Macaca mulatta: one gene and its partner. The protein of the gene in region 2 purifies or fractionates together with the protein of the main gene of each other region. This does not show direct contact. Links are inferred from orthologs where the notes say so. Each region holds a gene or a part of one and is shown on either strand. Other genes may lie near its edges. The genes, in order: YWHAE and SYNGAP1.

Region 1 (15,390 bases), on a different chromosome or scaffold from region 2:
TGAACCCCAGAGGTAAATGGGAAATTAGTTCCCTTTTAGATAAAAAATTTCAACAAAGAGAAAAACTTCATAAATACCTATTGATACCATCTGGATTTAAATACAGTTAACTTCAGCCCCCTAAAATTGAATCTGGACGAAGATAAAATAAACTACTTGCTTTCCACTTTTCCTTTCCTCAACCTTTGAAACAGTGTAAAGGAAGACTTAAACTAAGTTCCCCAAAATGGAACTCGGTACTTTAGCACCATTTCCTATAAAGGCAATAATTAAAATTTCATAGAGAGCAGGCAGTGAGTCTAAATTGTAGCTTGATGTAAAGATATGCCAAGGAATGTCTACAGAGAGTAAAAACAAATCCTGCAACTGAAAGAGGTGCCTCTTTTACTTCCTAGTGTTTGCTTACCGTCACCCTGCATGTCTGAAGTCCATAGTGTCAGATTATCACGTAACAACTGCATGATAAGTGTAGAGTCCTTATAGCTTTCTTCACTCAGCGTATCCAGTTCTGCAATTGCATCATCGAAAGCTGCTTTTGCCAACCTAAAGGTATTTAAATAAATGTATTATAAAAATTAAATCCAAAATCAGAATTAGAAAAGACATGCTAGACATCAATCTCTTCTTCAGTTATTCCAGTGTGTAATAGTGACAATGATACAAAGAAAAAGCAAATACAATAAAAATTAACTTAAAGGTATGTGGAGCACTACTATTTTTTCTTTTTTTGAGATGGAGTCTTGCTCTGTCGCCCAGGCTGGAGTGCAGTGGCGCGATCTGCAGAGGCGCGGCCTCCCAAAGTGCTGGGATTACAGGAGTGAGCCGCCGTGCCCGGCCAAGTTTTTTTTTTTTTTTTTTGAGACGGAGTCTCGCGCTGTCACCCAGGCTGGAGTGCAGTGGCCGGATCTCAGCTCACTGCAAGCTCCGCCTCCCGGGTTCACGCCATTCTCCTGCCTCAGACTCCCGAGTAGCTGGGACTACAGGCACCCGCCGCCTCGCCCGGCTAGTTTTTTGTATTTTTTAGTAGAGACGGGGTTTCACTGTGTTAGCCAGGATGGTCTCGATCTCCTGACCTCGTGATCCGCCGGTCTCGGCCTCCCAAAGTGCTGGGATTACAGGCTTGAGCCACCGCGCCCGGCCCCAAGTTTTTTTTTTAAGAGATTCGTTATGTTGCCCAGGCTGGACCTGAACTCCTGCGTTCAAGCAATCTTCCCACCTTAGCCTCTTGAGTGGCTGGGACCAATGGTACAAACCACCCCCCCCCCGAGATATTTAACAAAGTATTAATGCAAAAAGAAAATCTTGGACAATACCTCAAAGTTTAATAAAATTTAATTTCACATTAATGGAGGCAGGGAAGCAAAGAAAATAAAAGGCAACACAGAAGCCACGGAAATGTGGTCATGTAAGCCTTTTACAGTTTTTTTTTTTTTTTTTTTTTTTTTTTTTTTTGAGACGGAGTCTCGCTCTGTCGCCCAGGCTGGAGTGCAGTGGCGCGATCTCGGCTCACTGCAAGCTCCGCCTCCTGGGTTTACGCCATTCTCCTGCCTCAGCCTCCTGAGTAGCTGGGACTACAGGCGCCCGCCACCGTGCCCGGCTAATTTTTTGTATTTTTAGTAGAGACGGGGTTTCACCGTGGTCTCGATCTCCTGACCTTGTGATCCGCCCGCCTCGGCCTCCCAAAGTGCTGGGATTACAGGCGTGAGCCACCGCGCCCGGCCTGCCTTTTACAGTTTTAAAAGAAAATCCACACCTACTGAATACTGTGTACTATGCCCAAGAAATGATACCAGATACCAATAGAAAAAAAAAAAGAGAGACATAATCTAAGTCCACAATCACCTTAAAACTTTAGAAATGGAGGATGGACAAATGTGTAACTATTTTAAAAGAAGGAGGAGGCTGGGTGTGGTGGCTCACGCCTGTAATCAGCACACTTTGGGTGGCCAATGCGCGCGGGCAGATCACTTGAGGCCAGGAGTTCAAGACCAGCCGGGCCACCATGGCAAAACCTATTAAAAACACAAAAAATTAGCCAAGTATGGTGGTGTATGTCTACAGTCCCAGCTACTCAGGAGGCTGAGGCAGGAGAATTGCTTGAACCCGGGAGGCGGAGGTTGCAGTGAGCTGAAATTGTGCCACTGCACTCCAGCCTGGACAAAAAGAACCAAAAAAAAAAAAAAAAAAGAAGACGACGAAGACTCAAGTGCTACTCTAAATGAAGTATCTCAGGGACCCAGGAGGAGCAATTAATGGGAAGGTCAAATTTGAGCTAACCTTAATGGATCAGGAGAAAGCAAAAAGAACACACTTCAAGTTTAAGCAAAAGCATGAGCAAAGGCATGGAAGTGACTTAAAACTGGAGCTACACGTGGGACAGCTAGACTGGAGTCTGACAAGGAAAGGTGCAACCACCAGTATCAGTTAAATAGCCAAAGCTTCTTCAGTTATGACCCCTATCCTGGACAAACTCAACTAGCCATTTAGAATATTTTTAGATTGGCTGAGTGCAGTGGCTCACGCCTGTAATCCCAGCACTCTGGGAGGCTGAGGTGGGTGGATCACCTGAGGTCAGGGGTTCGAGACCAGCTTGACCAATATGGTGAAATCCCGTCTCTACTAAAAATGCAAAAAAAAAAAAATCAGTCGAGCACAGTGAAGCATGCCTGTAATAGTCAACGTTAAAGTTCTAATGTATCAGTTAATCTACTTTCCTCAATCTCTGAAAGGCTTTCACTTAAAAAATCTACTTGGCTTAAGCAGTGGTCCTCGACAAACCAAAAAAAAAAAACACACAAAAAGCAGAAGAGGCCGGGCATGGTGGCTCACGTCTGTAATCCCAGCACTTTGGGAGGTCAAGGCAGGCAGATCACGAGATCAGGAGATCAAGACCATCCAGGCTAACACGGTGAAACCCCATCTCTACTGAAAATATTAAAAAATTAGCCAGGCTTGGTGGCAGGTGCCTGTAGTTCCAGCCACTCGGGAGGCTGAGGCAGGAGAATGGCGTGAACCCAGGAGGCGGAGCTTGCAGTGAGCCGAGATCGCGCCACTGCACTCCAGCCTGGACAACAGAGCAAGACTTCATTGAAAAAAAAAAGCAAAAAACAACCATTTTGCTACTGCAATATTTACTGTAAAAATTTAAAAGAGGCCGGGTGCAGTGGCTCACGCCTGTAATCTCAGTACTTGGGGAGGCTGAGGTGACCGGATCACTTAAGGTGAGGTCAAGACTAGCCTGGCCAACATGGTGAAACCCCGTCTCTACATAAAAATACAAAAATCAGCCAGGTATGGTGGTGGGCATCTATAATCCCAGATACTTGGGAGGCTGAGGCAGGAGAATCGCTTGAAACCGGGAGGCAGAGATTGCAGTGAGCCAAGATTGTGCCACTGCACTCCAGCCTGGGCAACAGTGACAGGCTCTGCTTCAAAAAAAACAAAAAAAACAACAACAAAAAAACCAACAAAACAAACAAAAAACAAAGGAAAAGAAAAGAAAAGGCCAGGCATGGTGGCATCCTCCTCTAGTGACAGCTACTTGGAGGCTCAGGTACGCGATCAGCTGAGCTCAGGAAGCCATGACTGCAGTGAGCTATGAGTGCACAACTGCAGAGACGGAACAAGATCCTGTCTGGGGAAAAAAAAAAAGGTACACACAGAATTTTCAGTCCCAATTCCACCTCAAGGTGAAGTTAAATACAAGGACTGAAGCAAATACTTAATGCATCCATGTTCACAGCAGCACTGTACTCACCACAGAAAAAGGGTGGAAAGATACCCACTGACCACTCAAAGTTTAATGACTAAACAATGTGTCAAAACACGTAAAATGAATTGTGTGAATTCAGTCACGGAAAGGACTGAAGCTCTGATTGATGCTTTTACATGGATAAAAACGTGATGCTAGATGAAATAAAAACAGCCACAAAAGGACAAATATTATATAATCCCACTTACATGAGGTATCTAGAATGGGCGCAAAATTCATAATGACAAAGTAAAATAAAAGTTACTAGCAGGTGGGCAGAGGGGAAATGAAGTTATTGTTTGTTTAATGGCTGTAATTTGCTTTGTGTGGGGTGAAGAGAAAGTTTTCAAATAAATAGTGGTGATTACACAACACTGTCAAGGTATTTGGTGCCACTAAATTGTGTGTGTGTGTGTGCGCGCGTGTGTATTTTTTGAAACAAAGTCTTGCTTTGTCACCCAGGCTAGAGTGTACTGGTGTAATCAAGGCTCACTGCAACCTCTGCCTTCTGGGTTCAAACGATTCTCCTGTCTCAGCCTCCCGAATAGCTGGGATTACAGGCATGCACCACCATACCCGGCTAATTTTGTATTCTTAGTTGAGACAGAGTTTTGCCATATTGGTCAGATTGGTTTCGAACTCCTGATCTCAGGTGATCCACCCGCCTCAGCCTCCCAAAGTGCTGGGATTACAGGTGTGAGCCACCGCGCCGAGGCTATCACAACTTTTTAAAAGTAAAAAGCTATGTACATACAAATATTCCTTACATTTGTATCTACATTATCAAAACCTGGGAACAAGCTGAAGTATAAATGGGGGAACAGTGTAACACACATTAGTAAGACTGAAACTTGTTTATGCTAAAACAGAAAATATAAAATTATGTTTTCGACGAGAGTAACTATTAAAAACATGCCCATAAAGACAGAAAACTGGCTGGGTGTGGTGGCTCACGCTTGTACTTTCAACACTTTGGGAGGCCAAGGCAGGCGGATCACTTGAGGTCAGGAGTTCCAGACCAGCCTAGCCAACACGGTGAAACCCTGTCTCTACTAAAAACACAAAAAAAGTTAGATGGGCATGTTGGCAGGCCCCTGTAACTCCAGTAACTCAGGAGGCTGAGGCAGAAGAATCACTTGAACCCAGGAGGTGGAGGTTGCAGTGATCTGAGATGGCGTCACTGCACTCTAGCCTGGAAGACAAAGTGAGACATCGTCTCAAATTTTAAAAAAAGACTGAAAACTAATATATAAAATTAAAATAATTCTATCTTATAATTCCTCTCATTTCCTTCCTCTACTCATTTTTGTTTTTTTTTTTGAGACAGAGTCTCGCTCTGTCACCCAGACTGGGGTGCAGTGGCCGGATCTCAGCTCACTGCAAGCTCCACCTCCTGGGTTTACGCCATTCTCCTGCCTCAGCCTCCCCAGTAGCTGGGACTACAGGCACCTGCCACCTCGCCCGGCTAAGTTTTTGTATTTTTAGTAGAGAGGGGGTTTCACTGTGTTAGCCAGGATGGTCTCGATCTCCTGACCTCGTGATCCGCCCATCTCGGCCTCCCAAAGTGCTGGGATTACAGGCTTGAGCCACCGCGCCTGGCCCTTCCTCTACTCATTTTAACACGTTAGATTTCAATCTACCAAAATATCCCACATAAAAATACTTACCCTGACTGCTACGCTAGTGGGTTGAGATAGGTCTGTTTTAATACTATCCAAAGTAGTTTCAGTAAGAGTCAAAAGAATCAATACGCAGCCAAGTCTACAAAGGCAGGCCCAAGAAACAATACGGAAAATCCAAATAGCTACCCCTTAACTTTCTTTCTTTTTTTTTTTTTTTTTTTTTTTTGAGACGGAGTCTCGCTCTGTCACCCAGGCTGGAGTGCAGTGGCGCGATCTCGGCTCACTGCAAGCTCCGCCTCCCGGGTTTACGCCATTCTCCTGCCTCAGCCTCCCGAGTAGCTGGGACTACAGGCGCCCGCCACCTCGCCCGGCTAGTTTTTTGTATTTTTTAGTAGAGACAGGGTTTCACCGTGTTAGCCAGGATGGTCTCGATCTCCTGACCTCGTGATCCGCCCGTCTCGGCCTCCCAAAGTGCTGGGATTACAGGCTTGAGCCACCACGCCCGGCTACCCCTTAACTTTCAAGCTGAGAGCTTTTTTCTTCCCCACAACTTACCTGCAGGCACGGTCAGGGGAATTAAGAATTTCGTAGTAGAATACGGAAAAATTGAGAGCAAGACCTAAGCGAATAGGATGCGTTGGTGGAAGTTCTGTCATTGCAATATCACTAGCAGCTTTATAAGCCACTAGGCTGTTCTCCGCAGCCTCCTTCCTGTCATTTCCTGTGGCAAATTCTGCCAGATACCTGTGGTAGTCCCCTTTCCTAAAACAAAACCAAAATTAAAAAAAAAAAAATTTTAAACCAGGAATGACGATTTTTAAAGGAAAATAAGCTAAAATTGTTCTATATTATATAAAATATGCGACAAAAATATATGTAACAATTAGCAGGTATACTTCAATAATTTTAAATACCCTCAGGAATAATTGGCTTCCTTTTGTGTTTTTCCTTAGACATTTCATATTACTAAATATAAGCAAAAATCCCAAGGAAATTAACTGAGGAGCCTCTAAAAATTAACAAAATTATCACCTAATAAACCAGAATTAAGCAAGTGGTTCCAAGGAATGGCATGACTGTTTATTAAAAATAAAATAAAATTTCTATATAAAACACTAAGCACTGTGAAATGTATGCCGCTTGGGGGAAGGGAATGGGATAGGTCTCACAAAAACAAAGAATATAAAATAAGCAAAAGCTGGGAACAATCTGAAGTATAAATGGGAGAACAGTTTAACACACATTAGTAAGACTGAAACTTGTTTATGCTAAAACAGAAAATATAAAATTATGTTTTCTACGAGTAACTATTAAAAATTTTACATTTTTATAATAGTCCATCTTTTTATTCCAATATTAACTATCCTTCTAACATTGAACAATTATTCTTAAATAAAAGTTGAAAACCCACATAGAAAAAAGTTGTAATTCTAAAAGGACCAACTTTCAATCTTACATTTTCCCTTCTAGTATAGAACCTACATTTTATAATAGAAAACCTTGGACTCGCCAGTGTTAGCTGCTGGAATGAGGTGTTTGTCCAGTACATCCAGAATGTCACAACAGATTAACTTTAGCTCAGTCTCAACCTGAAAAAATAAAAATAAATTTTTTTAAAAAATCTGATTAAGTCTAGAAATTCTACAAATTATTACACATTCTATCTCTGGTTTTTAGGAGGAGAGCTTAGTATTAAAAAGAATTAATAACCACCTCCCAACTCCCTTCTTCCTTCTTGACACAAAAGCAGAGAAAAGCTGCCTCTAGGTTATAAAAAGCATCTTTTCCTTTCTGCATGCTATTGTTACATACACACATGCAGGCGCACATACGCCAGCCCCCACACTCCCTTCTCAGTCCAGTTACAGAATTACCAATGACTAAAACACTGATGCTTCTTGATAAATGCTGGTCAATTACATGAATTAACTTCTTCCACAAGGTAGCAATGTAAACACATTGTTCTAAGATCAACTTAAAAGAATTTAATAAGCAGAGCTAGGATTTGAACTCAGGCCAGTTGCAAGGGACAAAATCAAAATTTAAACCCAGGCAGTTTGCCTTCAGCACTCACATTCCTAACAGTCACCAGGCAATTCCTTAAATGGCAGAGATCTGTAACTAGTTAAGACACCAAAAACCTATCTACCAAAGTAGCTATTGCCACCATCTCTATCCACTGATAATGCTGAACGCGTACACCACCTCTGGACGCACATCCCCAGCTTGCTTCCTATTTGCTATTAACTCATGCACTATTGCTGAACCTTTCGTTCCTCTCCATGCCCCCGGAACCTCCGTTTCACTGTAAAACATTCTCTCACTTTTTCTTCTATAATCACATCCTTATCCCAAGCAAAATCATTTTCTGAATAAACCACCGCCCTGACGGCTTTTCCAACAGAGACTGGTCTAGGAAAAGGAAGATTTCTAAGTTCTCCTAGCTCCTTGCACAGTCAATGACTGCTCTCCTATTACTCCAAATCCTTCCTCCTCACAAGCTGATATTCTACATTCTATTTCTCAGCTTCTGTCTTCAGTAGATCTCTACACCCTTCTCCCAGATTCACTCAATGTCTACAGCAAACCCATCCGATACCTGAGATCACACCAAGGTATGGTGTGGCCGTGTTCCATTCGACAAGCTCTTGGCTCTCTACTCCAAGACTTCCACTTGTCCACACCCATGACCGCGCTGCCCTATACTAGCAGTCTGAATTGTAACACTCCACTCTGGGCCCATGGCTTCCTTTTTCAGTTCCTCTTCTCTTGTAATTTCTATTTATGGACTCATCAAGACACCTGGACTCTTTTACTTTTTCCTTCTTTGATTCAGAGTTTCGCACTCATTGCCAAGGCTGGATGGGGTGTAGTGGCTCGATCTTGGCTCACTGCAACCTCCGCCTCCTGGGTTCAAGCAATTCTCCTGTCTCAGCCTCCTGAACAGCTGGGATTACAGGCACGTGCCACCATGCCTGGCTAATTTTTGTATTTTTAGTAGAGACGGGGTTTCACCATGTTGGTCAGGCTGCTCTCGAACTCCTGACCTCAGGTGTGACCCACCCACCTTGGCCTCCCAAAGTGCTGGGGTTACAGGCATGAGCCACCACGCCTCGCCACTTTTTCTTTTTTAATGCATGTATCTCATCTAAGACATCAGACTCTTGAGCTTTTTACGTCTTCTCCCACTTTATCAGTTGCTGTCTTTGATTCCCACTTCCCTTTCCCAGGCAGCCAAAATCCCACAGAAATCCCACAGTGGAGCTCCTGGGCTTGTTTCTTTAGCACTTTCAACTTCCTCACCTCCTCCTTCCACTGGGACACTCAACTTGTCTACTGACCAACCAAATTCTTTGACCCAACATATTTCAGGGTAATGGTTAACACATCAACCCCAGCTTACAATTTTAGAGACAGGGTCTCACTTTTTTGCCCACTACTGGGCTTAAGCGATCCTCCTGCCTCTGTCTTCCCCGAGTGCTGGGGTTACAGCCACGAGACACCACGCCCGGCCCCAGCTCACAACTTTCTAAGTGACCTCAGGTATGTTAAACACTCAAAATCCTGGCTTGTGCATTCATAGGTTGGGATAATGCCTCCCCCTTCCAGTGCTATTTTAAAGATTTCACGTACTACCTTACACAAATACATATAACAGAAATATTTCTCTACTCAGGACAGTGCCCAGTACAGCTGGCGAGTCAGTAACTGTGGTTCCCCCACCTTTCCCTCTCCCAACCAAGCTCACTTTCCACCTGCCCTGTAATTCTCTTCCTTGTTCTCGTTCATGCGTTACGTGCCTGTCTCTTCCACTAAATCAGTTTCTCACCAGCAGCACTACTGGAGTTTGCTGTGGGGCCGTGCTGCGCACAGTAGAATGGTTAGCAGCATCCTGTCTCCACCCCACTAGATGCTAGCAGCACCCCCTAAGTGACAAAAGTATCTCTAGACATTGTCAAATGTCCTCTGAAGGACAAAAGCACCTCTAATTGAAAACTGCTGCATTAGAGTGATGGCTATACAACTTTTTTAACAAGACCTACAATAAGAAACATTTTATATATGCATCTACACACACAGTATGTAAAATAACTTCATTAAATAATCCTTATGCTTACAGTGTTCCACTCTGATATGTTCTATTCTGTTGAAAAAACTAGGCCAGGTGTGGTGCCTCACACCTCTAATCCCAGCACTTTGGGAGGCCTAGACTGGCAGATCACCTGAGGTCAGAAGTTCCAGACCAGTCTGGCGAACATGGTGAAACCCCATCTCTACTAAAAATACAAAAATTTACCAGTTGTGGTGGCAGGCACCGGTAATCCCAGCTACTTAGGAGGCTGAGGCAGGAGAATCACTTGAACACGGGAGGCAGACGTTATAATGAGCTGAGATCACACCACTGCACTCCAGTCTGGGCAACAAGGGCGAAACTTCCTCTTTAAAAAAAGAAAAAAAAAAAGGGCCGGGCACGATGGCTCAAGCCTGTAATCCCAGCACTTTGGGAGGCCGAGACGGGTGGATCACAAGGTCAGGAGATCGAGATCATCCTGGCTAACACGGTGAAACCCTGTCTCTACTAAAAGACACAAAAAACTAGCCGGGCGAGGTGGCGGGCGTCTGTAGTCCCAGCTACTCAGGAGGTTGAGGCAAGAGAATGGCGTGAACCTGGGAGGCGGAGCTTGCAGTGAGCCGAGATCTGGCCACTGCACTCCAGCCTGGGCGACGGAGCGAGACTTCGCCTCAAAAAAAAAAGAAAAAGAAAAAAGGCCAGCCACGGTGGCTCACACCTATAATCCCAGCACTTTGGAAGGCCGAGGCGGGCGGATCACAAGGTCAGGAAATCGAGACCATCCTGGCTAACACGGTGAAACCCCGTGTCTGCTAAAAATACAAAAAATTAACCGGGTGTGGTGGCTGGCGCAGTAGTCCCAGCTACTGTGGAGGCTGAGGCAGGAGAATGGCGTGAACCCGGGAGGCGGAGCTTGCAGTGAGTGGAGATCGTGCCACTGCACTCCAGCCTGGGTGACAAGGTGAGTCTGGGGGGCCGGGGGGAAGAGGAATGAGACAAATTAACCCAGTATATTTGTTGTGTGTGTGTGTGTGTGTTTTTTTTTGAGACAGAGCCTTACTCTGTCACCCAGGCAGGAGTGCAGTGGCACGATCTCGGCTCACTGCAAGCTCCCCCTCTCGGGTTCACGCCATTCTCCTGCCTCAGCCTCCACAGTAGCTGGGACTACAGGCGCCCGACACCACGCCCGGCTAATTTTTTCTATTTTTAGTAGAGACGGGGTTTCACCATGTTAGCCAGGATGGTCTGGATCTCCTGACCTCGTGATCCGCCCGCCTCGGCCTCCCAGAGTGCTGGGATTACAGGAATGAGCCACCATGCCCAGCCAACCCACCGTATTTTTTTAAAAAACAGTCATCATTTTGCTTGAAAATAACAACAGTTCCCCCTTACCCAAGAGGCATCCATTCTGAGACCAGCCAGTGGATGTGCTGAAACCATGAATAATACCAAATCTGATATAGACTATGTTTTGTCCTATACATACATAGCCATGGGAAAGTTTAACTTATAAACTAGGCACAAAGATTAATAACGGAAACATTATAACATACTGTAATGTAAGTTATATGAATGCAGTCTCCTTCTCTCTCAAAACCTCTTAGTGTACCGTCCTACAGGTAACTCAAACTGTGCATAAAGGGGGACGACGGCACAGCAATCTCACCATTTGCCGATATTCCCGAATCATTTTTAGCTTGTCTTCTCCTCCCTTGTTTTCTTCTTTCTGTTCAATGCTGCTGATTATTCTCCAGGAGGCTCTTCTAGCTCCAATCACATTCTTATATGCAACAGATAGGAGGTTTCTTTCTTCAACTGTCAGCTCCACATCCATCCCTGCTACTTTCTTCATTGACTCCACCATTTCTGCATGGGAAAAGGAAAAGTCAGATCTTACAAACTGGAAGTTTTCTTAACATATCCCATTCAAAGTAGGTTTTTTTCTGTCAAGCTACTGGAAAAAAAATTTTTCAACAAAAATAATTTCATAATCATCAAAACTAGTATGAGTAAAAAGCCAAAAACATGTAAAGGAAACCAAACTAAGAGCCAATGCAAAGACTCTAGAATGTAAGTTCTATGGAATCAGGAAGACTTCATATACTATCTAATATAATTTAGTGTGGTCTGAAAGCACCTCTCTAATTAGGCATACCTAACCATTTTCCAGCCAAAAAAAAGGAAAAAAAAGCCGCCAGTTTAAGAGAAAGATTAAGAATTTACAGATGCTAAAACGTATTGTCTTACAAATAAATAGTATTTCCAAAAAAACAAGAGAAGGGGCAATTTGTTCATACAGCAAAAATGTACGGAGTGTATGGTTGGCCACCAACAGACTTTGGATGTTTTCTATCCTTCCTCGTATGAAGCTCCTTCTGGTGAAACTTCTGATGACTCCTATTTGTTACCACTAGGTGGCGAGCAAAGAAAGGGGCCCAGAGAAGCCTTGGGATCTATCGCAAGCATAGGGAAATACAGCTAACAGCGTGTGAATGCAAAGCGCAATAGCACAAGAAATAGTAACTGAATGAATACATTAACAGAAACTTATTTTGATGCTGTATTACCACGTGGCTCTCCAACATTACCCACGTTTGAATCTTTGGTGATGAGACTCAAGAATCTGCATTTTACGCCAGTAGTAGTGGCTCATACCCCTAGCACTTTGGGAACTGAGGCAGGAGAATCACTTGAGCTCAGGAGTTCGAGACCAGCCAGGGCAACACGGTCAGACCCTGTCTCTAAAAAATTAAAATAGAGGCTGGACATGCTGGTAGTCCCAGCACTTTGGCAGGCCGAGGTGGGCGCGTTACGAGGTCAAGAGATAGAGACTATTCTGGCCAACATGGTGAAACACCATCTTTACAAAAAATACATAAAAATTAGCTGGGCGTGGTGATGCGCACCTGTACTCCCAGGTACTCCAGAGACTGAGACAGGAGAATCGCTTGAACCTGGGAGGTGGAGATTGCAGTGAGCCAACACTGTGCTACTGCACTCCAGCCTGGCAACAGATGGAGACTCCACCTCAAAATTAATTAATTAATTAAAATAGGCTGGATGCAGTGGCTTACGCCTATAATCCCAGAACTGTGGGAGGCCAAGGTGGGCAGATCACACTTGAGGTCACGAATTCAAGACCAGCCTGACCAATGTGCACACCACCACAATCCCAGCTACTTGGGAAGCTGAGGCAGCAGAATAGCTTGAACCCAGGAGGCAGAGATTGCAGTGAGCTGAGATCGCGCCACTGTATTGCCACTCGGGGCAACATAGCAAGACTCGTGTCAAAAAAACAACAACAACAAAAATTATCTGCATTTAAATAAGCATCCTTAGCATTCATTAACACCCTAAGCATAAGTATACTTTAACTAACAGGTATAAAGAGATAGTGACTTCATAAAACACTACTAAATTGGGTGGGCACAGTGGCTCAAGCCTGTAATCTCAGCACTTTGGGAGGCCAAGTCTGATGGATCGCCTGAGGTCAGGAATTCGAGAACAGCCTGGCCAACACGGTGAAACCCCGTCTCTACTAAAAATACAAAAATTAGCTGGGCATGGTGGTGTACGCTTGTAATCCCAGCTACCATGGAGGCTGAGGCAGGAGAATTGCTTGAACCTGAGAGGCAGACGCTGCAGTGAACTGAGATCGCGCCACCGCACTCCAGCCTGGGTGACAGAGCGAGACCCCGTATCCAAAAAAAAAAAAAAAAACCAAAACACAAAACAAAAACCAAAACACTACTAAATTAAGGGGAGTGTACCTAATGTATCCAGGAAAATATGTTTCAAAAATTAATCCTTGGGCCGGGCGCGGTGGCTCAAGCCTGTAATCCCAGCACTTTGGGAGGCCGAGACGGGCGGATCACGACGTCAGGAGATCGAGACCATCCTGGCTAACACCGTGAAACCCCGTCTCTACTAAAAATACAAAAAACTAGCCGGGCGAGGTGGCGGGCGCCTGTAGTCCCAGCTACTCGGGAGGCTGAGGCAGGAGAATGGCGTAAACTCGGGAGGCGGAGCTTGCAGTGAGCTGAGATCTGGCTTGAACCTGAGAGGCAGACGCTGCAGTGAACTGAGATCGCGCCACTGCACTCCAGCCTGGGAGACAGAGCAAGACTCCGTCTCAAAAAAAAAAAAAAAAAAAAAAAAATTAATCCTTTTGGGAATATAAAAAAAAGAATATTTTGTAAAGTCTCTTTGAAAAAAAATTGGCAATGTTTTAATAAACATTTACCACATGACTCAGCAATCCTAGTTCTATGTATTATACAGAAGAAAAATAAACCTTTACAAAGACTTTTACACACTCACTCACTCACAGCAACTATATTCATAATAGCCAAAAAGTGGAAACCACACAAATGTGCATCCAGAGGGGAAATGAATAAGCAAACTGGTGCTCATATCTGTAAGATGGGCACCACTCAAAAGTAAAGAATTCACTGTCCATGCACAGTAGCTCACATCTCTAATCGCAGTATTTGGGGAGGCCAAGACAGGAGGATTACTCAAGCCCAGTAGTTTGAGACCAACCTGGGCAACATGGAGAGACACTGCCTCTGCAATAATTAGCTAGGTGTGGGGGTGTGTGCCTGTAGTCTCAACTACTCAGGAGGCTAAGGCAAGAGAACTGCTTGAGCCCAGGAATTCCGGCCTGCAGTGAGCTATTAGGTTGGTGCAAAATTAACTGCGGATTTTGCTATTAAAAGTAATGGTGGCCGGGCTCAAGCCTGTAATCCCAGCACTTTGGGAGGCCGAGACGGGCGGATCACGAGGTTAGGAGATCGAGACCATCCTGGCGAACACGGTGAAACCCCGTCTCTACTAAAAAATACAAAAAACTAGCCGGGCGAGGCGGCGGGCGCCTGTAGTCCTAGCTATTCGGGAGGCTGAGGCAGGAGAATGGCGTAAACCCGGGGGGCGGAGCTTGCAGTGAGCTGAGATCCGGCCACTGCACTCTAGCCCGGGCGACAGAGCCAGACTCCGTCTCAAAAAAAAAAAAAAAAAAGTAATGGTAAAAACCACAATTACTTTGTATAATCCTAACACTGTACTCCAGCTTGGATGACAGAGCAAGAGACCCTGTGTCCAGAAAGAGAAGAGGAGGAGAGGAGAAAATAATTAACTGATAACAAGCAACAACATGGAATAATCTCAAAAAGATATTAAGTGAAAAGAGCTAGATTAAAAAGACTGTCATTCCATTTATATCAAACTACAAAAAACACAAACTAAAAAGACAAAGCAAATGGTTATCAAGGTGCAGGGGTGAAGTGAGGGGCTTTTGTGCAAAGGAGAGCTCACGGAATTGTACCTGTAGAAGTGGCACGTTTAACTGTACACCTCAAGCTGAGGTTTCTAATGCAATTCTGAACCATTAAAGAAGGATGACACGTCGGGTGCAGTGGCTCACACCTGTCATCTTAGCACTCTGGGAGGCTGAGGCAGGTTGGTCACCTGAGGTCAGGAGTTCAAGACCAGCCTGGCCAACACGGTGACACCCCGTCTCTACTAAAAATACACAAATTAGACTGGGCACGGTAGCTCACGCCTGTAATCCCAGCACCTTGGGAGGCTGAGGCAGACAGATCACCTGAGGTCGGGAGATCAAGACCAGCCTGACCAGCATGGAGAAACTCCGTCTCTACTAAAAATATGAAAAAATTAGCCAGGGCCGGGCACGGTGGCTCAAGCCTGTAATCCCAGCACTTTGGGAGGCCGAGACGGGCGGATCACGAGGTCAGGAGATCGAGACCATCCTGGCTAACACGGTGAAACCCCGTCTCTACTAAAAAATACAAAAAACTAGCCAGGCGAGGTGGCGGGCCTCTGTAGTCCCAGCTACACAGGAGGCTGAGGCAGGAGAATGGCGTAAACCCGGGAGGCGGAGCTTGCAGTGAGCTAAGATCCGGCCACTGCACTCTAGCCCGGGAGAC
Region 2 (15,390 bases):
CCCACCACCCAGCCTCCATCCCTGTCTGCCGAGCACAGCCACTGCATGGTAAGGGACATCCAGCTGCCTTCCCCAACCCCTTCCCTGCCTGTGGATCATATCCACACACCTGCTTTTGAGAAGAACCTGCCATGGTGCTGAGGCTCCCTCAAAATAGAGCAAGGTCACAGACTCCCACACCCTGAGGTCTATGTATGGCACTTCATGAAGACCCACACAGAAACCTAGACTCACAAGCACACCTTGAGTAACTGTGCTCAGAAATTAAAAATAGGGTGACTCTTCAGCCCTAAGCCAGGCCCCAGAACACATGCTGGAGACACAGGAAGAAAAGGCAATTGATGGGGGAAAGGCAGGTGTTGTCCTCCATGTGACCCTCTCCTTGGCTCTGTCAAGGAGCCAAGGATAGGGGGTCTACAAGTGAATTCTAGACTGAGAATCTAGGAATTCCAGAGCTGGAAGAGTTCAGAAGAGTCATTTTATCTGCCCTATTGGCTCTAGAGTTTACAGCTGTGCTGTCTAATGTAAGAGCCACCAGCCCACATGTAGTTATTTAAAATTTAGGCCAGGCACGGTGGCTCAACACTTGGAATCCCAGCACTTTGGGAGACTGAAGCATGTAGATTACTTGAGCTCACAAGTTCTAGACCAGCCTGGGCAACATGGCAAAACCCCGTCTCTACAAAAAAAAGAAAAAAAAAGAAAGAAAAGAAAAAAAAGAAAAACCAGCCGGGCATGGTAGCACGACCCTGTAGTCCTAGCTACTCAGGGGGCTGAGGTGGGAGGATGCCTTGAGCCCAGGAGGCAGAGGTTGCAGCAAGCCACATCTGCACCACTGCACTCCAGCCTGGGTGACAGAGCAAAACCCTGTCTAAGAAAAATTACAAAATTAAAATTAAATAGAGCTAAAAATTCAGTTCCTGAATCACAACTAGCCACATGTGAACAGTACAGATTACAGAACATTTCATCACTGCAGAAAGTTGTATTGGATAGTGCTAGTCTACAGCCTTTCTCAACAAGGTTTCCTCATCTGAAGCACAGAACAGAAAAAAAATGATTCAAAAGACTATTCCTCATTCTCTGAAGAGGATACAGACATGTATCACCAACCCTTCTACATGCAGAGGAGAGATGTGAATTAACTTCCTACGGTGGCTGCGTTTGGGCTAATATTAGGGCTTAATTCTCATTAAATTTGCTGGTCAAGCCCATTTGAGTCAGTCCCCACATTTCCTATGCTCAAAAACCACTTCCCCATGTTAGGGTCATATGTTGTTTATATATGACCTAATCCTGCAGCCACCCTCTTCCTCAGGCCCTAGGAGCAACAGCTTCCTCAAGTAACTTTCTGCTAAGTTATCTGTGTGTGCCCCAGAGCTCTTGATGCCCCTTGCCCTCAGCCTCCACCAAGTGAGGGTCCGGATGGCCTTTTCACACATGACCAATACATACTACTTTACCACATGCATCCTCTGCCCACTGAGTAACTTATGCCCATGGGACAGTGACTGGGTAGGCCAGACATCACTTGTAATATAACTGCATCCCCCTCCATCCCCACCCAATTTATTAGCTCCTACTGCCAGTAAAGTAACATTTCCTTTCCTAAGCAGTCACAGGAGCCAGGGCTTATGTTCCTCCTGGGGAAGAATATGGAGGTAAGCCTAAAATAGATGATCCCCAGATAGTCTACGATATATATAACCTACAAAATAGAGTTGAAAGTGACTTTTTAACAACTGTGTGTATCTGGTCTCCCCAGATGGACTGAAGGCTTCTCAAGAGGTAATCACGTCTTTGCCTTTTCTTTCTACCATAACTACCTGACCCTGGAGGTTTCCCTTGGAAGTGACTAGAGATCTCCCCTGTGGGTAAAAGGAAACATTGGGGCTTGGAGCTGGTAGAGCCCACCGTACCCTATCCAGCCGGCTCTCATCCATCGATTTTGAGTACTCCTTGAGCTTGTACTCTTCCCGCTCGATGTGGGCACTCTCGATGTCAGCCGACAGGTGAGGCATATTGGAGACCCAGGCCACTGTCCGCTCAGAGGCTGGCATTGTGGGGTTCAATGTGGACGGTGTCTGAGAATGCTGGGACAAGGCACAGTGAGGGCGAACAGAGAAAGGAAAGGTAGGAAAAAGCAGGGTACATTTAGAGGGCAACAGCACAGCCAAAGGAGATGACAGTCCCAGTCCTATTGCCCTGCTGTAGCCTTTATCACCTCTGAATGCCAGAGATGTGAGTTGAATGCCAGAGAATTTCTCCTGTTACTGTTCTGATTCAGGATCTGATTTTTATGCCTCCAAGCCCCCAACTGGCCCTATTCCAGTCACCCCCACGCTACTTATGGATTAATCCCCTCTGGAATGAGAGTGCTAAGAGGGTTCAGTGCCATATCCTTAGTGCCTGGCATAGCACATGGCACATAGCAGGCCCTCTATACACATTTAATGGCCAAAAGGAGGCAAGAAGATTGTAACTTCAGGCCACAGACTCTGTTCCAACCCCACCCCTCCAATCTCCTTCTTCCCTCCCTGTCGTGACCCAGCCCGCCTTCCTCCTGCCTTCACCTACCTGCTTGGTGATGGAGGGCTTCAGCCCCCCACCCCCTCCGCCACCGCTGCCCCCGCTGCCCCCAATGCTGCCCTCCTTGCTGAGGCTCTGTTGCCGTGGACGGGCGGGGCCATAACTTGGCTCTGGGGACTGCAATAGATTCCCGCTGGATGGCCGGGGTTTCTGGGCTGCGCTGACTGTCAACTGCTGAGACTTGCCCCTCTGCAATGGAGGTGGCTGGCCCCCGCCACCCCCACCGCTGCCCCCACCGCTCCCACCTCCAGGCCCTGAGGGGGCTGGCCTCTGGGGACCAATGGTGATCTGGGGAGGGGACAGCATGTGCTGCAGGTTGTCCTGGAGTGAAAGCTGCCGACGGGTGAAGTCAGTGCCAGAGGGTCCAAACTCATCACTGTAGCTGTGGCTATGAAGGATGGAGGCAGCAGGGGGCTTGGGGACCCCGGAAGAGAGGTCCTCACTCTTGCTATAGCCATGGAATGGGGCAAAGGTGTCCCCAGGGGGCTCTCCACCTCGGTGGTGGTGATGGTGGTGGTGGTGGTGATGGGAGGAAGGTGGGCCATGGCCACCGCCCCCGCCATGGCCGCCTGGGGGACCTGGCCCATCAGCAGCCATGTGGAAGAGAGGGTTCTGGAAGGAGAGGGGTATTCGCAGTTGCTGGGCAGGGACACCGTCTGTGGTGACACCCATCTGGCTGAGGCGCATGCCAGCTGCCGTGATGGATGAGCCACTCCCCTGGGAGAGGCGTCCAGCAGGCGCAGGCCGTAGCCCCAAGGCTGCTGTCAGCGAGGCCTGGCTTGAGTGCAGCAGGTCCCCTACGGCTGCCAGGTTCGAAACACTGCTGCTGTTGAGGCGGCCACCAGGCCCATCGCCCTGTAAGTCCAGCATGGACACACTCTTGTTGACACTCAGCATCTTCTGCTCTGGCTCTGTGATGTCCGAGCTGCTCGTGCAGTATGCTGGTGAGGAACGGGCCAGGGGTGGACGGCTTACATAGAACAGGTCTTTACCCCCACCAGGTGGTGGTGGGGGTGGCTTTTCCTTGGTTGGGGAGGGGAGGCGAGCCATGTCCATAGAGCTGTCAGAAAGGAAGGGGTAACACAAGCAGAAGGTAAGGTTGGGGCTCCTAGCAATTGAGCCTTGCTGTGGTCTGGCATAGGCCTTGGGGTGAAAAGTGGGACCCAGAGGGAAGGGCTGAGAGCTAGCAGTGGCAGCCCTGAAGAGGGAAGGCAGGGAGGATGGGAGGGGACGGGTGGGTAAAGGGAAAGGACAGGGCCCCTCCGGGAAGGGGGTGAGGCCTAGAGGAGGGGAGATGGGGGCAGCAAGAGAAGGAATGGGGACAGGGCTGGGCAGATATGGAGGAGATGAGGTCCATGGAGGAGGAGAGGAGTAGGGCGAAGGCCAGTGGAGCAGGAGAGGGAACAGACAGGAGAGGAGAGGAGGGCGGGGGAGGGGAGAGCCCCTCACCTGTTGAGGCCTCGAGCCATGAAGGACTGAAGGTCGATGGAGCTGGAGAGAGATGGAAAGAGGGGCGAGCACAGACAGAGAAGGAGAAAGATATGGACAAATGAAAGGAGAGGCGGGAATGGTGGCATGGGTATGGTGTCATGGAGGAAGACACGGGCAGAGGAACAAGCAGGGCCATCATCAAAATAATGAGCAGCAAATGAGGCACGGGCACCACCCATGGGAATTGAGGCTGGGACTCTGGAGCAGGCTGCAGGCCCTACTAGGCTTCTGCTGCCACTGCTCTAAGTGCTGGATCATGGGGAGGTCTGTGAGGTTTTGGTTGGGGGCTAGGGGAAGTGCTTATTCACTAGCTATTACTGAGATGTTTGAATATTTTGACACATAGCTGACATGACGTGCTGGCTGAACCTCAGCCTGGGGACAAGCATAGGCAAGCAGAGGGACAGCAAATCAGAGCTTGCAGCAGGGATGCTCTAGGCTTACAACTAAGCCGTGAGTTGGTGGAGCCTCAGCCCTCTTCCTAAAGCTCCACATCTCTCACTCCCTCAGGCTGTAAAGGGCTCTCAGCCTACCACTGACTGTACCTGTCTCCTTACCAGTCTTCCCTGAGAACTTGGTGCTTTTTCCTTTTTTCAAGCCCTAGAGAGATGCGTGTGGGGCCCAATGAGGAGTATCTAGAACAGGAGAAGGGCTCCTAGGGCACAGGCCTGGCTGTCCCAGGGTGCTCACCTGTTAAGGTCCCGCATCATGTAGCCCTGCATCTCAGCCGATGGCCCCCGCAGTACCACGGGCTGAGGCCGGGGCCGCTCACTCTGGCGGCTTGGCTGCCTTTGGATGTTGGGGTTCCTCAGAGCTGTGCTGATGTCATTGAGGAGCCGGGGCAGTGGGCCCAGCTTCAGGAGGGCTTCCTGGAAGGGTGAGGCTGTTACCTGGGGGCTCAGTGCCCAGCTCTAAGAGGGCCTCTGAGGGTACAGGTGGAGGGGGTCTGAGCTGGGATGGTAGTGGTGACACCTCGGGGAACAAGGGGAGAAAAAAAATCTTCAAAGGGTAGTTTCTTAGGCTCCAGGAACCTCTGGAGTCATCTGGGGATAGGGCAAAGAGGGGATCTGCTGACCTTGCTCAGCTGGGGCAGCACCTCCCAGAGCAGGGCATGCAGTGTGGAGAGCTCTCGGCCCAAGTCGATGTAACCCTCAAAGCTACTGCTGTTGGTTAGCGTGTCCAGGTTGGAGATCTCATACAAGAACTGCTGCATGGAACCCCATTCCAGCTCCAGAAACTCATTCATGAAGCCCAGAAAGTCCTCCTTTGAGGTAAACCTAGCCAAGAATCCAGAAGATAAAGGTCACAGACACACACACAGAAAAGGTGTCATAGCCTCCCCATCTCAGGATCTCTGGGGACTCAGGAGACCCTTCTTGCCCACCCCCAGCCCTGCCACGCCCTGCCCTGCCCTCTCCTGAAGCTTCCCTCACTTGGAAAAGTTGGCCAGGTTCTGGATGACCTTGGCAATGAGGGTGAGGGTGCGTGAGGTCTGCTCATCTGGGTACTCCTGCATAAGCCCAAAGAGACTGGGCGACATAATCGCTGGGCAGAGGAAGCGCAGGAAGAGCGAGGCGCTGATAAGCCTGTCTGCGATGTCCTCCCGGCCTCGCTCTGCGCAGCGCAGCCGCCACGAAGCAAACACCTCCTTCAGCTCCCTCGGGAACACGCTGGGGGGAAGGGGCGGGGAGACAGAGAGAGAGAGAGAGAAAGAGAGAGACCGGGACTGAGCCCCAGAGACCCTCAGCTTCCAGGGAACATGCTGAGGGGGGTGGTAGGAGGTGAGGGTGTGGAAACAGAGGTGAGAGAGACAGGGAAGGAGGGACCGCAGGAGCAAGATGGGAGGCTGCTTGAAGAAGGGGGCCATGGCAGAGGGAACAGACAGATTAGGGAGAGAGAAATGGAGGGGGAGAGAAGGTGAGGGGAGAGACACGTGGGAGAGAGATGGAGGGGTGTGGGAGAGAGACAAGGAGAGGAGGAGAAGAAAAACAGACACCAGGGAGAGACAAAGATGGGAGAGAGATGGAGGGTCACTTGAGGTACAGGGAGCTCGGACCCCCCAACTCTTCTGGATTCCAGGGAAATGGGGATGGAGGTGCCCCAGGCATGATCCCCAGTCCCTGGAATGGCTCAGAGCTCACTCCCCCCACCTCCCAGATCCACTTCAATGTCCCACTGACACCTTAAACTCTACTGGTGTAAAGCAGAGCTCACCACCGCCCCCACACCTCCAACTGGCTCCTCCTCCTGACTTTCCTGGTTGTCAATGAGGCCACAGGTCTCCCAATCACCAGCCTCATGGCCTCTTGAGTCATCCGTGACTCCCCGCAGATATGCTCCCTCTTTTCCAATAAGCTGACAATTCCTACTGATCCTTTCCTCAGAGGGTCCTTCCAGTAGCTCCTTCCTAACTCTGTCACTGTTCTGATTCAGGATCTGACTTTCATGCCTCCCAACCCCCAGCTGGCTCTACTCCAGTCATCCCCCCACATACACCCCTCTATTCTACTATTTATAATCTACTTATGGATTAATCTTTTTTTTTTTTTTTTTTTTTTGAGACAGAGTTTCACTCTTGTTGCCCAAGCTGGAGTGCAATGGCGTGATCTTGGCTCACCACAACCTCCGCCTCCTGGGTTCAATCGATTCTCCTGCCTTAGCCTCCCAAGTAGCTGGGATTACAGGCATGCACCACCACATCCAGCTAATTTTATATTTTTAGTAGAGACAGCGTTTCTCCATGTTGGTCAGGCTGGTCTTGAACACCTGACCTCAAGTGGTCTGCCCACCTCGGCCTCCCAAAGTGCTGGAATTACAGGCATGAGCCACCGTGCCCAGCCTATGGATTAATCTTCTAAATCACAATACTTCTGATACCTTTAATGGCATCCCAAGGCCTACCAATGACCTCAGACTCCTTGAGGCCTTCCAGTTTCTAAAGCTAATCTTCCTGCCCAGACATCTCTCCCACCACTCCCCATCATGAGGCACATGCTCCACTAAACCTGATGTAATTGCTACTAAGCTACTCTAATGTCCCCTGATAACTCCTGGGCCTTTTCACCATCACACATGTGCCTTTCTCACAGCCTTCTTCTGAAATGTCTTTCTTGCCAACTATGTCCACATATCAGAACCTAAACCAGTCTTCAAAGCCTACCCAATGGGGCACCTCTTCCCCGCTTATCTCAATTAAAGCTCTGCCTTCTCTCTGACCTTCTATCACACAGAGGTGGGGGGACCCTTACTCAGAACTTACACACCATTATGACTCTGTGGCTTTTTTTTCCCTAATTTGTCCCCACTCATTCTGGTGGAGGCCCTCTGAGGGCAGGGACCAGGCCTCTTTCACCTGTTTGCTCTATAGTGCCTAGAACAATGCTTTGCCCATAAATGGTTCTCAGTCCTCTTTGAGGATGGACAGATAGATGAACAGATGAACACATAATTCCCCCGACCCTGGCCCCCCAGCCCAGCGTTCCCAGTCTCACCAGTGGGAGTTGACCACCTTGCACAGGGCCAACTCACAGCACATTCGCAGGTTGGCCTGGTGCTCTGCCAAACTGGACGCTGTGCACTTGATAGGGTCTACCTCGCAGTTTTCCTCAGACTCATACAGAGCACGGATGAACTCTCCTGGAGGGTGGCGGCACAAGAGGGTGTGGTCACACTTTTCAAGGGCAGGGAAGGGGGTGGCCAGGGTTGGGGAAATTTCAGAATCAGGTGTTGGAGGCTGGAGTCCTAGGACTCTGGGTTAGGAAGTATCAAGCTGTGGAAGCGTGGACTTGGGATCTGGGGTGGACATCTGGCAGGTTTGGGAAGAAGAGGGCCTAAGTGTGGGCCATACCAATGGCATCCTTGAGGTATTTCTGACCAATCAGTCTCATATACTCTTCTATGGCTTTAGTGGCGAGCGTGTTCTCGCGGAATATGAGGTGCTCCCGTTCCATGAACCGGTCTACCTCAGACATGGCCATGTCTGAAAGGAAGTCCTGAGGCCCAGGAAAATCCAAGTGTCAGCCTCTGCACAACCCAATCTCGTGAATTTGCCCTGTCCTCACTAACCCCCAAGCAAGTGCCCATTCCCAAGTCACCTTTCCCTGAGGGCACAACACTCACCTTGGCCTTGCCTGTACTCTGCAGGATGTGAACTAGTGCACTGGCAACCTCCTCCTTGCCTTTGACATTCAGGGCAGGCTCCAAGACTGCACACAGCATCCGATAATGGTTGGTGACATACTCTGCAAACTCTTTATATAGCTCCATGGGCAAGATGCTCATTGTCTGGTAACGTGCTTTCAGCCGTACAGCCGGGCAACCTCCTTTGCCCTTGCCCCCTGAGCCGCCCCCCGAACCTCCTCCCCCTCCCGAGCCCATGCCCCCAGATCCCCCACTGCCTGTTGGCAGGGTTACAGGGTACCACTGCTCTGTGAAGTGGCGCCCAGCCAGGGTGGCCACTGGCACAGTCACCAGGCCGACATAGCCCGCCTTGTCCTTCTTGCGCTTTTTGTCTGAGTCACGGTACAGATGCAGCCGCAGGGCACGGACAGCCGGCAGGTTGTTAAACTCGAAGTGCTCGCCCCAGAAGACGGTGTCCCCTGAGGCAGAGCGGGGCTTGGAGGTGGTGCGTGCATACAGCATGTCATCCAGGCAGAGCTCGCAGTAGTACCGCTTCTTGGGGGGCAGCTCTCGGGCCTCTATGATCCACAGCTTTAGCACATTGTCTACCCGGCGGCTGTTGTCCTGGCATGGTGGGGTGGGCACGATGTTAAAGGGGGAAGGGACAGAGAGACACCAAAAGAGGAGAGACAGTAAGAAAGTGGGATACAGACAGCAATCATAGGTGAGACGGTGTACTGGGTTGAACAGTATCCCACCAAAACTCATGTCTACCCTGAACCTGTGACTGTGATCTTATTAGGAAACAGGATCCCTGCAAATGTAATCAAATTAAGAAGAGGCCAGGCACGGTATCTTATTCCTGTAATCCCAGCACTTTGGGAGGCTGAGGTGGTGGATCGCCTGAGGTCAGGAGTTCGAGCCAGCCTGGCCAACATAGTGAAACCCTGTCTCTAATAAAAATACAGAAAAAATTAGCTGGGCATAGTGGCACGTGCCTGTAATCCCAGCTACTCGGGAGGCTGAGGTAGGAGAATCATTTGAACCTGGGAGGCGGAGGTTGCAGTGAGATGAGCTCATGCCATTGCACTCCAGCCTGGGAAACAAGAGCGAAATTCCATCTCAAAAAAAAAAAAAAAGGCCATACTGAATTAGAGTTGACTCTTAATCCACCTTATAAAAATTGATGTCTTTATATGGAGAGGGAGATTTGGAGACATAGAGATACAGGATACAGAGACACACAAAAGGAAGCCAGCTACATGAAGATGGAGGCAGAAACTAGACATATGCAGTTACAAGCCCAGGAATGCCAAGGACTGCTGGCAACCTCCAGAAGCTAGGAAGAGGCAAGGAAGGATTCCCTGCTACAGCATCAAAAGGAGCATGGCCCTGCTGATACCTTGCTTTTGGACTTCCAGTCTCCTGAACTGTGTGAAAGAATAAATTTCTGTTGTTTAATGTGACCAAGTTTGTAGCAGTTTGTTATAGCAGCCCCAGGAAACTACTCTAGAAGCGTAGTTCATACACTAGACAACACAAACAGTATTGGAAAGAGTTTTAAAGCTGGAATAACAAGCCAAAAATATTAATGTAGAATTTAAAGGGAACTGGAAAGTCCTGCAGAGACTATCAGAAATTGTGAAAAAAGAATTGTATATAGAATGGGTAAAGCTTGGCCAGGTGTGGTGGCTTATGCCTGTAATCCTAGCACTTTGGGTGGCTGAGGCAGGCAGACAACTTGAGGTCAGGAGTTTGAGACTAGCCTGGCCAACATGGTGAAATCTTGTCTCTGCTAAAAATACAAAAATTAGTCAGGTGTGGTGGTGCATGCCTGTAATCCCAGCTACTGGGGAGGCTGAGGCACAGGTATGGCTTAAACCTGGGAGGCAGAGGTTGTAGTGAGCCAAGATCACACCACTGCACTCCAGCCTGGGTGACAGAGTAAGACTCAGTCTCAAAAAAATAAAATAAAAAAAAAAAAAGAATGAGTAAGGCTTGACAGTTGGTATAAGGGCCTGGGGGGATACAATTGAGCACAAGCTAATGGGAAGGCTCAGGTGATATTGCAGTGTGTGGAAAAAGAACATGGTGTTTGTACTCTGCATAGGTCAGATCATGTCAGCATCTTGGGTTGAGTTCTTTAAGGACATCAAGACACAAGAGTTCCCCCCAGAGGAGGGTGACTACGACTGTAAGCTTGCTAGAAACTGGGATACAGAGAATAGCTGACAGAACTGAAAGCATGAAGTTTTGGGAAGAACACAGACTCACAGAATTTATGTGCCAAAGGGAACTTAGAGATCATTTAATCCAACCCTAAGACAGTTCCCTCTGTCTTAGAGAGGAAACCAAGGTACAGAGACTTGGCTAAGTGTATTTTATGTGTCCTGCGGGGTTTTAGTGAAGCATTCCTGCCTGCAGGGAAGCTAGACTAAAGGATTTCCAGAGCCCCGTCAACTCTGTAAGTCTACGACTTATATGGCAGGGAAAGAGATAGTAAGGCAGGGTAGCAGTACAGAAAGTACAGAAAGAGAAAAGAAATGGGGGACTCAGAATAATGGGGGTCTCCCCCTTCTTGTCCAGGTACCCTGTACTTCAATCCTCTCCTTCTCCAAGCCTCTCCTCCTTTAACTCACTTTCCTCCCTAGGCCCCCAACTTTCCATGTTGGCGCAACCTTTGCCCTGCACAGGTTATGTCCCCTTTATTCCCCAATACCTTGTTGGGCTTTACTGCCCGCTGCAGATTCTCAATCCATTTGTCTCTTTCGGCTGCAGACCGACAGGCAAAGCATTTTGTTCCTGATGAAGTTGTTACCTAGAAAGGAGTGTGGAGTTGAGGGAAAGGGCTACAAAGGGAAGGAGACTCTGCTACTTTCTCTTCCTCCCTGGCCTATCCTCCTTTCTTCCAGTCCCAAAAGTTTGTTTCCTTGATGTCCCCACCTGTGCCACTTTCTCTAGACCTCTCTGCCCCCCACCTTCCATTGCCCCTTTCCTTTGGCCCTCCCCAGCCCACTAGACCCAGTACCTCAAAACAGAACTCCTGGCCCAGGATGGAGCTGTGCACTGGCTTGATAATGGAATCTTCATCCAAGTTGAGCTCCAATGCCTCAGCTGCACTGCTAGGACTCAGCAAGGACTCATGAGAGTGCGACTCCTTAAAGCTTTGCATCAGCCGGGCCCTGGCAAGCAGGAGGTTCAGGAGAGGCGGGGATCAGGGCCCCCCACTCTTTTTTTTTTTTTTTTTTTTGAGACAGAGTCTTGCTCTGTTGCCCAGGCTGGAGTACAGTGGTGTGATCTCGGCTCGCTGCAACTTCTGCCTCCTGGGCTCAAGCGATTCTCCTGCCTCAGTACACCCAGCTAATTGTTTTTCTTTTTTTTTTTTTTTTTTTTTTTGTATTTTTAGTTGAGACACGGTTTCACCCTGTTGGTCAGGCTAGTCTTAAACTCCTGACCTCACGTGATTCAGCCTTCCAAAGTGCTGGGATTACAGGCATGAGCCACCACGCCCGGCCCCACTACTCTTCTTAGACACATAGGGATCCTGCACCATCAGTCTGTTCCAGGATGGAGACTTGGAGAGAAGGCCCCCTGAACACCCTTCCCAGACAGGCACTGAAAGAAACCCTGCCTATCTCAGGAAGGACATGAGGGATGTGAGAGAAATGAGAATCCTTTAAGGAACTCCCCTGCTCCAGCTGGGCCTGGTGGCTCACGCCTGTAATCCCAACACTTTCAAAGGCCGAGGTGGGAGGGTCACTTGAGCCCAGAAGTTCGAGACCAGTCTGGGCAACACAGTGAGACCCTATCTCTATTTTTAAAAAAAGGAAAAAAAAAAAGAAACTCCAACCATCTCACACCTAAGGGATTGTGAGGACTGGGGATACCTAGAAATATCTCAACCCAGAAATGGACCATGGCAGAAAAGAAAAAAAAAAGGAGAGAACAAAGTGGGCCTGGGGCACTTCTAGGTAGTACCTCCAGGTAACCCCAGAAACCAGAGCCTCAGTATAAAGGAAAAAGTGGAAGAAGTGATGGCACAGAAAAGAGATATGTCTAGCCTGGGCCTGGCACACAGCTAGTGCCTAATAAACATTTAATGATTCAAAAAGTGCCTAATAAACATTTAATGATTCAAAGAATGAATGAACATAGCATAAGAGGACAAGTTTTAGCAGAACCAGGGGAAAGAGTGAGGGAAAAGCATATGAAACAGGAGAAAGCTAAGGGCAAAAAAGAGCTGAATGAGGATAAAAGACAGAATATGGGGACTAGGGAAGAAGAGAAGGTAGGGCAAGGAGAAAGGGGAAGACAAAGGTATGTGCAGCAAGACAGAGGACAGGAGAAGAGGAGGAGGGCCAACTGGAGAGGTGGCCAGGAGAACCGAGGTGGGGGCTAAGAGGGGATGGAATGCAAAAAAATCACTGCAGGAGGGCAGAAGATAAAGGGGACTGGGGGCATGGAATAATGAGGGGTAGGATAGCAAGCGGTATGGAGATGGGCAGGGGATGAAGAGTAGAGAGCAGTGGGAAAGCGGGAGGGGAGCTCGGGTGTGGGAGCCTCCAAGAAGTTATTTATAGCAGCCCCGTCATCGCAGGCTCTGGCTGCCGTCAGCGCGACGCTCCCCCGGCCCCCGGCCCCCCCCCGCCCCCGCGGCCAGGAATACCATGCCCTCACCCCCTGCCGGCCCCAAATCCAGCTCTGGCAACATGGGAGGGGGGCAGGGAAAGGTGTAACTCACTTTATCCCAACCTCCCTACCTGCCCAATCCTGTGGGTGGCCAGACGTGGTGGAAAGGGAGGGCATGGTTCTCCCTAGGGAGTGACTGGGTGAGGGGGAAACCCAGATAGGAACCCCAAATGGCAGACAACAAAGGCAAACAGTGGAGGTCTCCTTCAGCCTGGCCTCAGGGCCACTGCCTTCTGGACGTCTCTACAGGCTGCTTCTTCATGCCTCAGTCCATGGATTGCTCCCCATTCTGTCACCCTGCACACCTGTCCCAGACTCCCCTTCTCTGCCATGCTCTATACTGTCTCTTCCTTCACTGATGAGGTCCTTGAGCCCTAGCCATCATCCATTCATTCAGCCACCCCCAGCCCCGCTCCAACCTGCTGCCCTGTATTTCCTGACCTTCCCTGACACCCTTCCACCTAGAGCCTATTGCTCACTGACCTACCAACCCCTTCCCTGCATTCCTTAAACGCTCCTCCAGGGTCACTCTCCTCCTGTACAGCTCCTTTGATCCTGGGCTAGAGCCCATCCTTCTTGGCCTGAGTAGTCCCTGAGGAGTCACTACTTGGCTTCACCTTCATTCCCTTTCCAGCCTCTCTGTCTTCTCTCTGCCACCCTACCCCTCTCCTGCTACTCACAGATCCCTATTCTAGTTATTTTCTGTTCTGTCCCCTGCCCCGTGACATCCCCCAACCAACTTGAGTTGAATCCTTCAACCTTTGCACACAGATAACCCCCTCCCTCTGCATCTCACACAAGAGACCCTACATTACATTGATCTCATCCCACATGCTCCAGCCCCTGTACCGGTCATGGTCAGCACTTCGGAATCGAGGCAGGATCTGGCGAAAGCTGCTGGTCCGGTCAAGTTTGGGTTGTGACTTCGTTCGTTTGATGGAGCTTTTTAGCCGTCGGCTCAGGAAGCCTTGCTGGGGGGGAAATGGGGATGGGGTGTGTTGGGGCAGGGTCAGTTCTACCTACTCATCCCTCAGCTGGTAGATAGTCCCTGGATGAAAGTGGGATGGGGAAAAGGGAAGTCTCCAGAGGCGAGGAAAGGGGGATAGGAACCCTAATACCAGTTTGTCTTCCTTGCTCCCACAGGTACAGTGCAAGCACGCGTGCACACACACACACACACACACACACACACACACACACAGAGCTTGGAGAAAGTGGGAGGGCTGGTCTCAGAAGCAGAGGGGCAGAGCCAAGAAGGGGGAAACCAAAGAGGTGGGGAGACACACACACACACACACACACACACACACACACACACACACTCTTTTTCTCAATCTCACTTGGGAAACCAAAGAGGTGGGGAGACACACACACACACACACACACACACACACACACACTCTTTTTCTCAATCTCACTTGGGAAACCAAAGAGGTGGGGAGACACACACACACACACACACACACACACACACACACACACTTTTTCTCAATCTCACTCCCTCTTTCCCCCTCCTGCCCTCTTTCTCAGACTCCTAGGGCCCGAGTTGGGGCTCAGGGGAGGGGGCCCAGCTGAGCCACATCTGGTAGGCACCACTCACCGAGGGCCGGAAGGGCGCAGCAGGGGCGCCCTCCATGCTGTACTGCTTCCCCCCTGGGACACTCTTCCTCCTCGAGCGACCCAAGTGGTATTCTGGAGGGGAGAAAAGGGCCAGAAGGGAAGTTGGGGAGGGGGCCAGGAGGGAAGCTGTTAACCCAGGTTCCCACCCCTGACCCCAGTGCATGCCCCCACCTCCCTCTGCCCTTCAGCTCCGGCCTCACCTACCCCCCGGAAAGCAGCAGGAAGAGCAGCGACGGCGGAGAGGCTGGCAGCGGGAAGGAGGGGGCAAGGAACCTGAGCAGGAGCCCCCTGAGGGGGATGGGGTGGGAGGCCTTAGGCCCATGACTGGGGCTAGCAGTCAGCAGGGGGGCATGGCTGAGAGGGTCAGTAAAACCCCAGTAATGAAGGACACCAAAGATCCAGGGAGGCTAGGTCCCTGGTGCCCACCCACCCCAGAAGGGGCCAGCTGGGGGGAAAGATGGGTTAAAGGTCATTGCCCATAGGCAGGCTTTCCTCTTCCCCCTGCTGGACACATCTTCCATCTGCCCCCCACCTCCTGGAACCCCTGTCTGTCTGGAGGGCCAGGGCTGCCTCCCATGACCCCCTCCCTGGACTGGAGGGGGAGGTCTTGGAAGAGACCTGTGAAGAGTAGCAGGGGGAGAAGCCGGGGACAGAAAATCCAAGGAAGGGGCAGGTGGGGGGAGGGGAGAAGGAGCCGGTTCCACGTGCACTGCAGTGGCAGGGGCTCAGAAGGTGGGGGAGGGGAAAAGCAAAGAATGCAGGGGAGTGGGCAGGGAACAGGAAGGATGGGCAGTGGGGGTTCTGGGGACTCCCAAGTAAGGGCAGGGAGAGGAGGAGGAGGGGAGGTGAATGCGGATGCAGCTCAGCCTGCCAAGAGCCTAG

What was found.
Region 1: the proteins of SYNGAP1 (region 2) and YWHAE purify together in Homo sapiens (affinity purification with mass spectrometry; 3 studies listed by BioGRID and IntAct, with this or other methods). This does not show direct contact. The link is inferred for Macaca mulatta from reciprocal best matches to the Homo sapiens genes SYNGAP1 and YWHAE.

The regions. Positions count from the first base shown.
Region 1 is NC_133421.1:2,896,729-2,912,118, forward strand, and holds part of YWHAE (14-3-3 protein epsilon), read right to left. Parts: intron 11,312-15,390; coding exon 11,112-11,311; intron 6,963-11,111; coding exon 6,856-6,962; intron 6,136-6,855; coding exon 5,929-6,135; intron 544-5,928; coding exon 407-543; intron 1-406. UniProt on the Homo sapiens protein: Adapter protein implicated in the regulation of a large spectrum of both general and specialized signaling pathways. Binds to a large number of partners, usually by recognition of a phosphoserine or phosphothreonine motif.
Region 2 is NC_133409.1:148,834,392-148,849,781, forward strand, and holds part of SYNGAP1 (ras GTPase-activating protein SynGAP), read right to left. Parts: exon of another isoform or gene 14,831-15,390; coding exon of another isoform or gene 14,713-14,830; intron 14,581-14,712; coding exon 14,489-14,580; intron 13,860-14,488; coding exon 13,738-13,859; intron 11,382-13,737; coding exon 11,228-11,381; intron 11,018-11,227; coding exon 10,919-11,017; intron 8,824-10,918; coding exon 8,200-8,823; intron 8,073-8,199; coding exon 7,928-8,072; intron 7,717-7,927; coding exon 7,572-7,716; intron 5,751-7,571; coding exon 5,514-5,750; intron 5,358-5,513; coding exon 5,156-5,357; intron 4,950-5,155; coding exon 4,771-4,949; intron 4,081-4,770; coding exon 4,039-4,080; intron 3,650-4,038; coding exon 2,578-3,649; intron 2,094-2,577; coding exon 1,920-2,093; intron 1-1,919. UniProt on the Homo sapiens protein: Major constituent of the PSD essential for postsynaptic signaling. Inhibitory regulator of the Ras-cAMP pathway.